3 linked regions of the Schizosaccharomyces pombe genome follow. The protein of the gene in region 1 interacts with the protein of each later gene in a biochemical or structural test. Each region holds a gene or a part of one and is shown on either strand. Other genes may lie near its edges.

Evidence for each region.
Region 2: of the proteins of raf2 (region 1) and htb1, one has a biochemical effect on the other in vitro, tested with the Schizosaccharomyces pombe proteins (one study listed by BioGRID).
Region 3: the proteins of raf2 (region 1) and stc1 form a complex in vitro, tested with the Schizosaccharomyces pombe proteins (one study listed by BioGRID).

The regions. Positions count from the first base shown.
Region 1 is NC_003421.2:498,958-503,424, forward strand, and holds raf2 (CLRC ubiquitin ligase complex subunit Raf2), read left to right. Parts: upstream 1-1,807; 5' UTR 1,808-1,901; coding exon 1,902-3,812; 3' UTR 3,813-3,923; downstream 3,924-4,467. Other genes in the region: kcs1 (inositol polyphosphate kinase), read right to left, coding at 1-809. UniProt on the Schizosaccharomyces pombe protein: Component of the Clr4 methyltransferase complex (ClrC) which contributes to the establishment of heterochromatin by specifically methylating histone H3 to form H3K9me.
Region 2 is NC_003421.2:1,410,207-1,414,178, reverse strand, and holds htb1 (histone H2B Htb1), read right to left. Parts: upstream 1,821-3,972; 5' UTR 1,696-1,820; coding exon 1,315-1,695; 3' UTR 543-1,314; downstream 1-542. Other genes in the region: exocyst complex subunit Sec5, read left to right, coding at 1-542; hta1 (histone H2A alpha), read left to right, coding at 2,257-2,655. UniProt on the Schizosaccharomyces pombe protein: Core component of nucleosome. Nucleosomes wrap and compact DNA into chromatin, limiting DNA accessibility to the cellular machineries which require DNA as a template.
Region 3 is NC_003423.3:3,690,502-3,693,933, reverse strand, and holds stc1 (CLRC complex-Argonaute linker protein Stc1), read left to right. Parts: upstream 1-2,018; 5' UTR 2,019-2,085; coding exon 2,086-2,733; 3' UTR 2,734-2,926; downstream 2,927-3,432. Other genes in the region: abz1 (para-aminobenzoate synthase), read right to left, coding at 1-1,371; mug30 (ubiquitin-protein ligase E3), read right to left, coding at 2,928-3,432.

The sequences.
Region 1 (4,467 bases):
CTTTCAAGCTCAAACGAAGCATCAGGTAGTAAAGGGAGGTGTTGAGATGACTTTTTAGAAGGATTATGTGGTATGTAGGTGGCTGTGGTTTTAGAACTACCACTATCTTTTCTTCGTTTAGGAGCTGAGCTCCGACCACGAGATGATCTTCGACTTAGTGATGTATCTTTTTCGGAAATAACTTCATCTAAATCATGCTGAGCACCAACACTTGGTGATCCAGATTTGGAGAGCCTTTCAGAAACAGATTCAAGAGGACTCGACACGTTGTGCAAAGCAGTATTAGTACTGTTACCGGTTTCTAAGTTATTGGAGGTAGAAGACTCAAAGAGACGTAATGACCTGCTTGCCTTTCGAGACGGATGAGCAGAATGAGCACTTGCCATATCATCAGCTTCAGAAACGGCTGAAGACTGCAGCACCGGTACTGGTGATTCAGCAACTGAATAAGAGGAACCACCTAATTGCAAGTCAGCTAGACTCTTGTGAATTGAATCACTCATATATTCAACAGGGGTGTGTGTTCTCAAAGGGGTTTGTTCTTGTGAATTACTTCTTGTTAAAATTAAGCGAGGGACATCTTCCAAGCTCGTAGTTCGAGGGTCTACAGCAGATGAATAGTTACTTAGCCTTCTAGGCGATAAACTGTCTAATGACTTAGGACCTATGGATTCAGAATGCATAGTAAAATTATTGTTATCTTCTGATTCATCGTACAAGCATTTTAACGTTTCAGGACCTCGATCATGAAAATTCACGTCTCTGCCTTTACGTGAATTCGGCAGGTAACACTTTGGTGCGTTCTGCATAAATTCATAAGTTTATCTCTATTAAATTAATATTTTTCCTTAATTCCCCTTCAATTCCTCCAATTTGTCCGATTTTTATTAGTTTACCTTTCGCAGAGACCCGCTTTGGTTCTTGGCAAGTTTCTTACTTTGCTCTAGCTTACAGTATAATGAGGCGTATAGTGAAACTACTTAAATTCATTATTGTCAGCAATACTACACTACGCTATGATACACTACGTTGCGTATCACTATATGTCATATGTTGGAATACTAGCTAAGATCCGTTTATTGATAATCACGGGTAACTATCCGTCTATATACGTAGATACCCGTTGATAACAACTATTTAGAAATATTATAAATAGCGTTACAACTGAACTGAGGAACGAGGTTCAGTTATGAGCTATATTAGTGATAGGTAACATTATAACCCAGTTAATACAATACCTATACTCAGTTGCTACTTATACAACCTGCGTATTGTAATATAATAGATCACAAGGAAAACTCACCGCAGTTCTACGTATCCTTAAATCAGATACCAAACTGCGTAGCTTACAATTATTCTACTCTAAAGATCCACATAATAATACACCGTATCTGTCATTAAATTACGCATTGTGTCAGCTATGCAATCATTAAAACACTTAATGATACTTTAGAACTGCGGTGGGTTTTCCTAATATAAAAAATAATGTTAAATAAAATTCTGTTTTCTATACAATAATAAATATATCAAAATATTAAGAGATATCGTATAGTATTATATGTGCACTAAAATAGTTTACAATCAGCTGAGGAGTACAAATCAAACTTCATCAATATTTTTCTAATTAAAGAATAAGTACTTTAGAAGCAACGTATGTTCACGGCCGAAAGAAATGTTGGTAAAACACAATTATAGGTATAGTGATTGTTAACGTATCGTAAGTATAACGCACTAGACGTTAATTATATATTTGTGCAGTACAATGGATACCCTTCTCTTAAATTTCAGAAGCAGAGATCAGAAATTTAACACCAATGTTTACCTCAAAAATATGCCGTCTATAGTAATAGGCAATATTACTTCGAAGAGTATTGTTTTTGGGGAAAAGGAAAAAGCTAGCGATGCCGCCCGTACGTGCTGAAAAAAAGCGGAAAACTGATTTGATTGAACAAGTTTGCGTTACAAATAAAGCAGGGGAATTAGTAGATTTAGAGGACGTTCTAGAATATGGCCCTTATTCATTAACAGGAATTTTATCTTCTGAAAAGGATGAGCAAGAACCATTGTTTGATGAGAGCATTGTTCTGGGATACTCGATAAAAATATCGCCTGTTTGGACATACAATCTAAAAGACGTTCCTGAGAAAGAAACTATGAGCATATGGATCGTTACACCTCAAAGAAGATACGGAATTTTGTCTCCTTCTTCTGAGTATAAAGCCATTTACGAACAGATCAGCGAGAAGAATCGATTGTTTTACCTTATTAAGACAAAATTCAAAGATGATATGATATCTGGTACGTTAGAAGATTACGATAATTATATCGAAGTTTTAAAGGAAAAGCTAGAGCTTCCTTCTTGTTTTCAAGCAATTCTCTTAGTGCAAAAACATATTCGCTTTCTGTTAACCCAAATGGTTGCGACTTCTTCATTACATGTATGGTCTGAATCACCTTTTTTTATAAGAATTCGATCTTCATACGAACATCTGATTTTACAAATTAATAAAAACATTTACAATGCTCGTCAAGAGCGAAAGAAATCAAAGTTATCGTCAAACAATCCATCGGACAATAATACTACTATGAAAAGCTCTTTAAACCAAGCTCTTACTTTAATTAATTTACCCGAGCAACCGTTTAGCATTTCCTCTCCCACAGCAACACCACAACTAGGAGTTGTAAAAAGAACTTCTCCATTACGGTTTCCTTTGAATGATATTTGGCTTTCCGGTTTAAGGATTGTTGATCCAAATATTGAATCGATATCATTATGGAAAAGAATACAAGTTTCAACCTCTCCGAAGCATCAACGTTATATTAGCCTTCAAGAAGTTTGCAGCGTTATTGCTCAACAGCTACAAATAACAAATTTGGAAGCTTTGAATAAACTTTCTTCCCACGGCGAAACCCTTTTGCAAATTATGCATACTGCTTTCACGTGGAGAGGTACTAAGCTTTTTAATGATATTAAGCACGCAATTGGTTTTAGATCTTCTGTTCAACAAGCACGATCTCAATTCCGTGGATATTGTTATGATTATTTATTCATGCATTGTAACAATGGAGAAAAAACAAGTCTACATCTCTTGAGGACTCTAATATGCATGAAACTAGATTTCTCAAATGCTCAATTGGCGGCCAAGATATTATTTCATTTCTTGTTATTTGATATTGGATCAGGCCTTTCTGGCTCAGATTATACATATGAACAATACATTAATCACTCAGCTGTCGCTTTCAGTTTTACGGAGGAAATTTTTGAAAAAAATTTTGTTACAGTTCTTCCTGACTTTGTTAAACTTTTTTCTATTTCTTTTGGTTATTGGCCTGCATTCAGCTTCTATGATGAATTATTGAAATTACTTCGCAACAAATATCCCAAAGTATATTCATCAACTCCAAATTTATGCGATCAGGTATGGCTGGATCGAACAAATTTATTCCCTTGTAATAGGTCAACGAGGTCGACTTTACCGTATAGACCTACAAAACTGCTCGATTTAGCTTCCGCATCTTCCTGCTTATCCAAAAAGGAAACAGATTTTAAACAAGACACTGGATTATATTCATATAACTTGGAGAAAGTTGAGGCTTTAAAAGTTAGTCCGGATTTACAGACTGGTATTTGGTCATGTCCAGTACAAAATTGTTTGTATTTTGCTGTTTGTGACAACCCGTATAAACCTTCTCAGGTCATTTACGATCATCTTTTAGGACATGTAGATTCCAAGTTTATATTTAAAACTCCTTCGAACAGTGTCCGATCGTTTACAAATAAACTTGAACACATAATGTACAACATAAATTAATGATAGATATGATGATTTTTACTAGTAATTAACAAAAGACACACTGCATTAAAGTTAATATATAGTATGTTTATAAAGGATTACAATTTTACATGGCTAATGTCAAATACACTTTACTTTACAAATATCATGTGTTCATAAACAATTTCAAAAACACATTTTGTAACAACAATTTGATACGCTTATAAATGTGCCTATTAAAGTGTACAAATAGCTGAATTATTTGTCAAATGTAATATAGGACGATCAAACAAAATCAAACACCAACCCTTTACAATTGTAAAGTTAATGGCCGTTCAAAATACCAGAACCCATTTTTGATAATAACTGAGACCAAGCGATAAAATAAAAACAGAGGAATGTAAACGCCAAGAACTACTAAATGTTCATGCGTAAGGAAAACGAGCAAAAAACGAGTATTTATTTTAGAAAAGAGCAATACTATTAAAAAATTGTTCCAGAAAATACGGACCATACGCGACGATTACCCATCTTTTTGGTTTTGTAAACGTAAATAGAATCATCTAATCATGAATCAGTAGGAGCAAACATGAGTATGATGAGGCTCACTTCTTTGACATAAAAAAATTAATGTGATAGGATAATATCCTAAATTCGATCCCACTCATAGATAGAAGAAAGTGTAATTTCAACT
Region 2 (3,972 bases), 910 kb from region 1:
TTTTACACTTCGTAACTCGACTGTTAAACTTGCGTTCACGTTTGGTACCTTACCAAAAGTTTCTCTTACAGACATTTCCTCTTAACGAGGTTTCTCCCTCCCTCGATCCGAGAATTTCAAAATCTCTTCGAAACTTGCAAGATCTTTATAAATTGTTGGCCATACGGGATACCAGTTTTTCCAATACCACACCCTCTTCCATATCCAAGTTGAGCATTCAACCACCGACCTTCCAATTGTTTTCCACTCTAGAAACCATATACTTAGAATTAAAAGACTCCATGCCTCCTAATGAAGCGGCAGATTGGATGATAGCCACAACGTCTTGTATGCTCGCTCAGTTTGCTTTACACTCACCATATGCCTTTTTCCACGACATTCCTAGTATTTCGCATTTCTTAAATAAATGCCTTCCACCTACCATACTCGACTTGCTACAACAAATCCAAAGAAAGGCAGAAGCCAGCTCCATAAGTCCGACTACGGAAACAGCTACGAAAACACGACTCAAGTTTCAGTTTATTGAAATGATCTTTTCATAATATTATATTATTATTAATAGTAGAATTACTTTACAATCTTTCCAAACATATATAAAATCATTTGCATAGCAAACATACCAAACCACATCAACTTCGCACACTGGATTCTTTGGGATATTTTGAATGTGAATAATAATATTCCATTCACCATCAATCTAAATCACCAACATAAACAATAATAATAATAATAAATCCATTAATAAACCAAGATGCCCAGGAGTGGAACGGGAAATGGAGTGTGAGAAGTGTCTGTATGAGTGCCAATGACACAAATTATTTCCATACATGGCGGAAAGGAACAAACAGTCGAAAAAAAAGAAACTCAACTCTCCAACCAGTGGTGATAGCTATAAAATGCACAAGGGAAGAAGATTAACCAAGGGAAGAAAAAGCATCTCGTCCCCGTCGAATCGAACACAAAACCCAATTTGATCCAGTACGACTTGTGCAAAACAAAACACCTTTCAACTCCACGAACCGGTCATAGAAATGAAGAACCATGTGTAATGTAAAAAAAACTATCGCGTGATGTGCTGCACCTGTGTTGTTGTTGTCGTCATTGTACGGGGAATAAAATAGGAATGCGATACAAAAGGCGGAAATGGAAAAGAGGAGGGAACGAAAACGTTAAAAAAGGGAGGAGGAAAATATATATTTCCAAAAGAGCAAATAACCTACCCCCTTTTGTTTCGTGAGGTTGTCATTGTCGAAATGGAAGGCTGTGGAAACTCATCAGCTGACTAAAAGACGATTGCACAATCGTGCGATTCGCTTACTGAGCAGAAGAAGAATACTTGGTGACGGATTTGGTACCTTCGGTAACGGCGTGCTTGGCTAACTCACCGGGAAGAATCAAACGAACAGCAGTCTGGATTTCACGGGAAGAAATAGTGGACTTCTTGTTGTAAGCAGCAAGCTTGGAAGCCTCAGTGGCAATACGCTCAAAAATATCGTTGACGAAAGAGTTCAAGATACGCATGGCTTGGTTGGAAATACCAGTATCAGGGTGAACTTGCTTCAACACCTTGTAAATATAGGATGAATAAGTTTCCTTTCTGTTTTTACCACGCTTCTTATCAGCAGACTTCATGGTATCCCTAGGAGCCTTACCGGCGGGAGCCTTGGAAGCGGGTTTCTTTTCAGCAGCAGACATTTTTTACGATTTAAAAATTGGTTGTCGAGAGAATCTCAAAATTGATGGACTGAACTAAGTAATTGCAATTGTAGGAATTTGATAATCCTAAACTTTCGTGCAATATCAAGTTGTTGGTATTAACTAACATGCCTGCAGGCGACGCGATGGTTATATACAACTTGGGCATCACAACCCTAACCCTGGTGTTTAGCCATGCGACGCGGAAACGTCATCTACAAGAACGCGTTAGACGTGCTTATACGGAAGATTAGAATTAGTATATATATGAAGGGTGCGCGCTCCTATGTCTCCTTTTCCCTATATCGCGACTTTTCGTTGTTTAGGATACCTTTTGATCCATACACGTATTGAAATTGATATAAACAATTGATCCTTAGTTGATAAGGAGATTGATTGTCCGTAAAGGCTGAAATTGCGAGAAAATTCTGTTAATTTCACCAAATTTGATCCATTCGCTGCTTCATCGTTGACTGTTATCTTTTTTCATTAAAGAAGGAAAAATCTTTTTTTTTTAACTCAAACTTTTATTTTTTTTATTTAGTTTCAGTATTTTTCGTCATGTCTGGAGGTAAATCTGGTGGTAAGGCTGCTGTTGCCAAATCTGCTCAATCCCGTTCTGCCAAGGCCGGTTTGGCTTTCCCCGTTGGTCGTGTCCATCGTTTGTTACGTAAGGGTAACTATGCTCAACGTGTTGGTGCTGGTGCTCCCGTTTACTTGGCCGCCGTTTTGGAATATTTGGCTGCTGAAATTCTCGAATTGGCTGGAAACGCTGCTCGTGACAACAAGAAGACTCGTATCATTCCCCGTCATCTTCAACTCGCCATCCGTAACGATGAAGAGTTGAACAAACTTCTTGGTCACGTTACCATTGCTCAAGGTGGTGTTGTTCCCAACATCAACGCCCATCTTTTGCCCAAAACTTCTGGTCGCACTGGAAAGCCTAGTCAGGAGCTGTAAAGTCAGTCGTCAAGTAAAACATTTTGAAAGAGGATGAAGGGAAAGACATTGAAAAGTTGTAAAGGACCTTTCTTTTTTTACAACCCCGCAATACTTTTTTTGGTTGTTTCTCGCTTCTAAACCATGTTTGGTTCTTTTTCCTTTTGAACTTTTTGCGTCTTTCTTTTTCTTTGCTGTTATTGTTTTCGTTATGCCTGAACTTTAAGGATGTTTTAGATGCAGCCAAGTCATTCTCTACTAGTTACTTTTACTAGTACTTGAAGGGCTTTTGCACAAGTAATTCCTACTTGAACTGGCTCCTTTGGTTTTTTTTATTTCTTTTTTATTCTCCCTTAATTATAATATTGTATAGTAATGAGTATATTTTTCAAAATCCTATATGAGAGTATGTATCAAATGAATAAATAGATTGTAGAGTGGAGATGAACAGATTGATGAAAGGAGTGTCATTAAACATTGAATCGAGCAGTACATGCAAAAGAATAGTACTTAATTTTTTTTTACAATTAATGCTTTTGAATTTCCAGAATTTTTTTTCGATGCAGTTTTTTTACTCTTCTTTCGTGAAACGGTAGACGTTTGCTTCTTTTGAGTTTTTTCCTTCGCCGATTTCGAAGCTCGGTCGCACCAGTACAGCACAATTCCAACTAAAAGACCAAGCATTTCATAAATTGAGAATGCTTAGATTTGGTAATTTTCACGTTTATTTTCCCTTTTTTTCTGTCTATATTTCTTATGGGCTATTTAGTCATTACGTCCAACCGATTGGTTAATGAATTGTACCCGGAACCGGTAAAGCCAGTTAACGAGAATATGTAAGCAATTTTTGGCAAGTTGGTGAATTTCACAAATTCATTTACCCATAATGCTGCTTTTATCGTTATTTATGGATAGTGATTGCTGTACGTCTCTTTATATGTTTGAAAAGAATACAATAAATAGGAAGGAGTTTGGAAAAAAATAGCTAGGTTCTTATGTAACTGTTTGATTTTTTTTTTTTTTCTTAGTTTTTTATTTTAATTTTAATTTTTGTTAGAAATCGATTTCATCGTATCTATTTAGGATTTTTCAATATTTTTTCTTTTTTGCCAATGTATTTTTATAGTTGTATGAAAATTATAATACTAATATCAGTCAATAAATAGCCATTGCAGTTTATTATTTTTATATTATATCAAAAAATATTAAAACATTATAATAAAATTTTTGCATGGCTCTTAGAAAAGCATTTATCGTAAAATTCGAGTTTGTTGGATTGTAAAATAGTAAAAAAATTCCAAAATATTGAGAATATATTCTGGCAAAAATTTCAGATTA
Region 3 (3,432 bases), on another chromosome or scaffold:
ATGTTCTTGGCAGGCTTTCACAGATTCACAGTATACCTCCTTTTTTGGAAAACTTTGAACCAGGCCAAAATTTTGCTTCCCATCGAAACTATGTAAGCAAGATAGGTTATCCAGCTTTGTGTTACAAGTGGAAGCTAACAATTCGCCCCACCACTCAGAACAAGTCTCATTTAAAGGAGTAAGAGTCTGAACGAATAATTTTTTAATCTCCAAGTCGAACACAAAGGATCGATCAACAAAAGCAAGTTCGGCATCAACTGTGGTTTGTTGGAAGTCCAAAGGAAAAGAGGCATTTGAAACAGACTTTGTAGATAAATCACTACATTCGTAACCAATGATACCCATAATTCCGCCGTAAAATGGCAAATTGGTATCTGGCTTAATTGCTTTATGTTGATTCATGAAATCAGCCACTGTGGACCACAAATCGTTGTTTATACGGACAAAGCTATTATCCTTGCAAATTCTAATCTCAGTAGTATTCGTTGCTTTCTCGTAATGTATAATTCGTGCCAAAGGACCTGTTAAAATTCCAAGTATAGAATATCTCCCAGGTTTTTTCGCTGAATCTAAAAAGCAAATTGGATTCCCGCTTTTTTGAATACAATCAGCTAACGCTAGTGGTTCAACCCAAGGGATTTCAACACTGTGAATTTGAAGAGAGGGAGAACCACTTTTAAGAATGAATGCAGCCGGAGAAATATCATACCGATTAAGATTATGCGAGAAACCATTTGCTGATTTTGAAAAGGAATTGACACATTGTATATTAGGAGTATCTGCTAGAGAAAGGAAATTTTTGAAAATTTTCAAAGATTTTGATGACCCAACGCTTTCAGGATGATAAAGTATTCCAAAATGTGGAAACTTTGTAGCCTTAATAGACATAACTATGTTATCTTCATCCGATTGAGCTAATATTTGTAAAGAATCGATGGGAATTTTGTTCGCGTACAAACTGTGGTAACGCATTCCTTTAACCGCTGAAATTCCATCAAAAATGAAAGTTTTTGAAGTAGTTACAGATGACACACGGCCATGCCAAGGAAGATTAGGCATTCTTTCTATAGTGGCACCGTGGTATAAAGCTAATGACTGAAACCCCAAACAAATGCCCATTACTGGGATATTTAATTGCCAAATACGATTCAAAATAGAAGAATATTCGGCAGGATGTCCAGGGCCCGGTCCTACGACAATGGCATCAAATTGAAGTATGTCTTCCCATAAATCAGGACTCATTTTATCCCAATGAACAACAATAACACAGGCATTTTCACTTGCTTTGTAAAGTAAGTCATAAAGGTTAAAAGTGTATGAGTCATAGCAATCAATTAATAAAATTTGTAAACGGTTTGAAATTTCACTCATGATAGATACTAATCAGCTAAAACGACCTTAGATTTACTCAAGAAACATTAATTTTTTAACGATATGATTGAAAAGAGAACTCTGGTATTAAGAGGTTTTAACTTTTACAAAGTAGCAGGAGTAGGAAGTGCGCAAATTAAATTCCAGTTTCCAATTTGTTTAGAAGCTTCTGACATTCTTCGGGATTTTACAAATCATACAATTCCATTTAAGGTAGGAAAAGTGTAGGCTATCTAAAGTTTTATTATTCCGTTTATTTTCAAAGAATAATTCGCAATCAAAAACTTGAAGGCGAGAATAATAGAATGGGAAGCAGTATTTATTTTGAAAACAACCCTTTGAATATGTGCAATTTTCATTGTCAATAGAACATGAAGCAATCAACAAATATATGTATTCTTTTTTGCTTTAATATCATTGATTCACCTATTAATCGAACCGAACGGTAGTAAATTTTATATTAATGCATTTACAGCCTGATCAGCGTAAAGATCTCAATGACAATTGATAGGACGGCTTGTATTACTGTTTTTTTTTTCTAAATCCTGATTAAGCCTGTATGTTTCTTCTATTTGGTTGTCAAGGCTATCACATTTTGTTCATTAAAGGTATTGTCTACTTAATGCTTCTAACGTCAGCAGCTAATTAAAATTATTTCAGTACATATATTCATTTATAAGAGTATTGTTACCATATTAATAATAATAAAAAAATATGGATTTTAAGAGTCGAAAATATAAAATTAAAAAGCATCCGAAGGATTGCAAACTACATGCTAAAAAATACCGGGGTACATTGAATTCAAAAGGGAAAAATGATAATGATTGTTTAATTATGTGTATGAGATGCAGAAAGGTTAAAGGGATAGACTCTTACAGCAAAACTCAATGGAGCAAAACGTTTACATTTGTTCGTGGGAGAACGGTTAGCGTTTCAGACCCAAAAGTGATATGTCGTACCTGCCAGCCCAAACAGCATGATTCAATTTGGTGTACCGCTTGTCAACAAACTAAGGGCATTAATGAATTCTCTAAGGCACAAAGACATGTCCTGGATCCACGATGTCAGATATGTGTACATTCACAAAGGAACGACGGTGATGATAATTTGGAATCTGATAAGTTCGTTGATCCTTTCATAGGTGATGATTCTGACTTAGACGATGATATCTACATTCATGATAAACAAACCATAAACTCAGAATACGCTGACGATGTTTCTGATAATACTGACGAAGAGCGAACTGAAAGCAAGGGGCAACAGGAAAGCAATTCAGCTGAAGAATATGATGATGATGACTCTGATGAAGACAGGATGGAAGAGATATTTCAGCAATTCAAAAAAGAAAAACAAATTGTATAGAGACACGTTTTATATTCATCCTTATTTGAATTATGTAAAGATTTGCTTACGATCCCATTTTATATGATAAATTATAAAGGTCCATTAGTGCTAATGTAGACCTTAAAATATGTTGAATTTAATTTAGATCTTAAATAAATAGATATATGTATATAGTAGTAAAAGGTAAGGAATTGCGAACCCTGATGTAAACACTAGCGTATATTGAACCCATTAGTTTCAAGCAACGCCGTGTCTAATTTTTTTTTTAACTTTTCCCTACTGGAGTATTCCCAAATACATAAGTGATTGAAGCAAGTATGAGAGATAGGAAGTTGATCACTGTCAGGTCCGAGAACTGAGATTCTTAATTGAAAATTATGTGCCCCAGTAGCGGGAATGCGATCGCTTCCTGTGACGAAAATGAGAAAAAGTTTTTGCATTTTTAGCGAATAGTGTGATATCAAATCCCAAAACCAAAGTATTATTTTTCTTTTTGATACGAAAGAGTGGCAGAGATATTTAGATGCAGTCATACTTGGTTCACTTTCAGATATAGAATTTGAAATCGCATTTTGGTCATAAAAATCATAAACGCAGACATTTTTGAGTAGCTCCCAGTCAATAACTTCTTCACTTCCTCTGATCAACTTGCTGATTTCATTGTCTTGAAACAACGATATGGCGTTACCTCCACATACTTTCATAAAGCCATCGAAA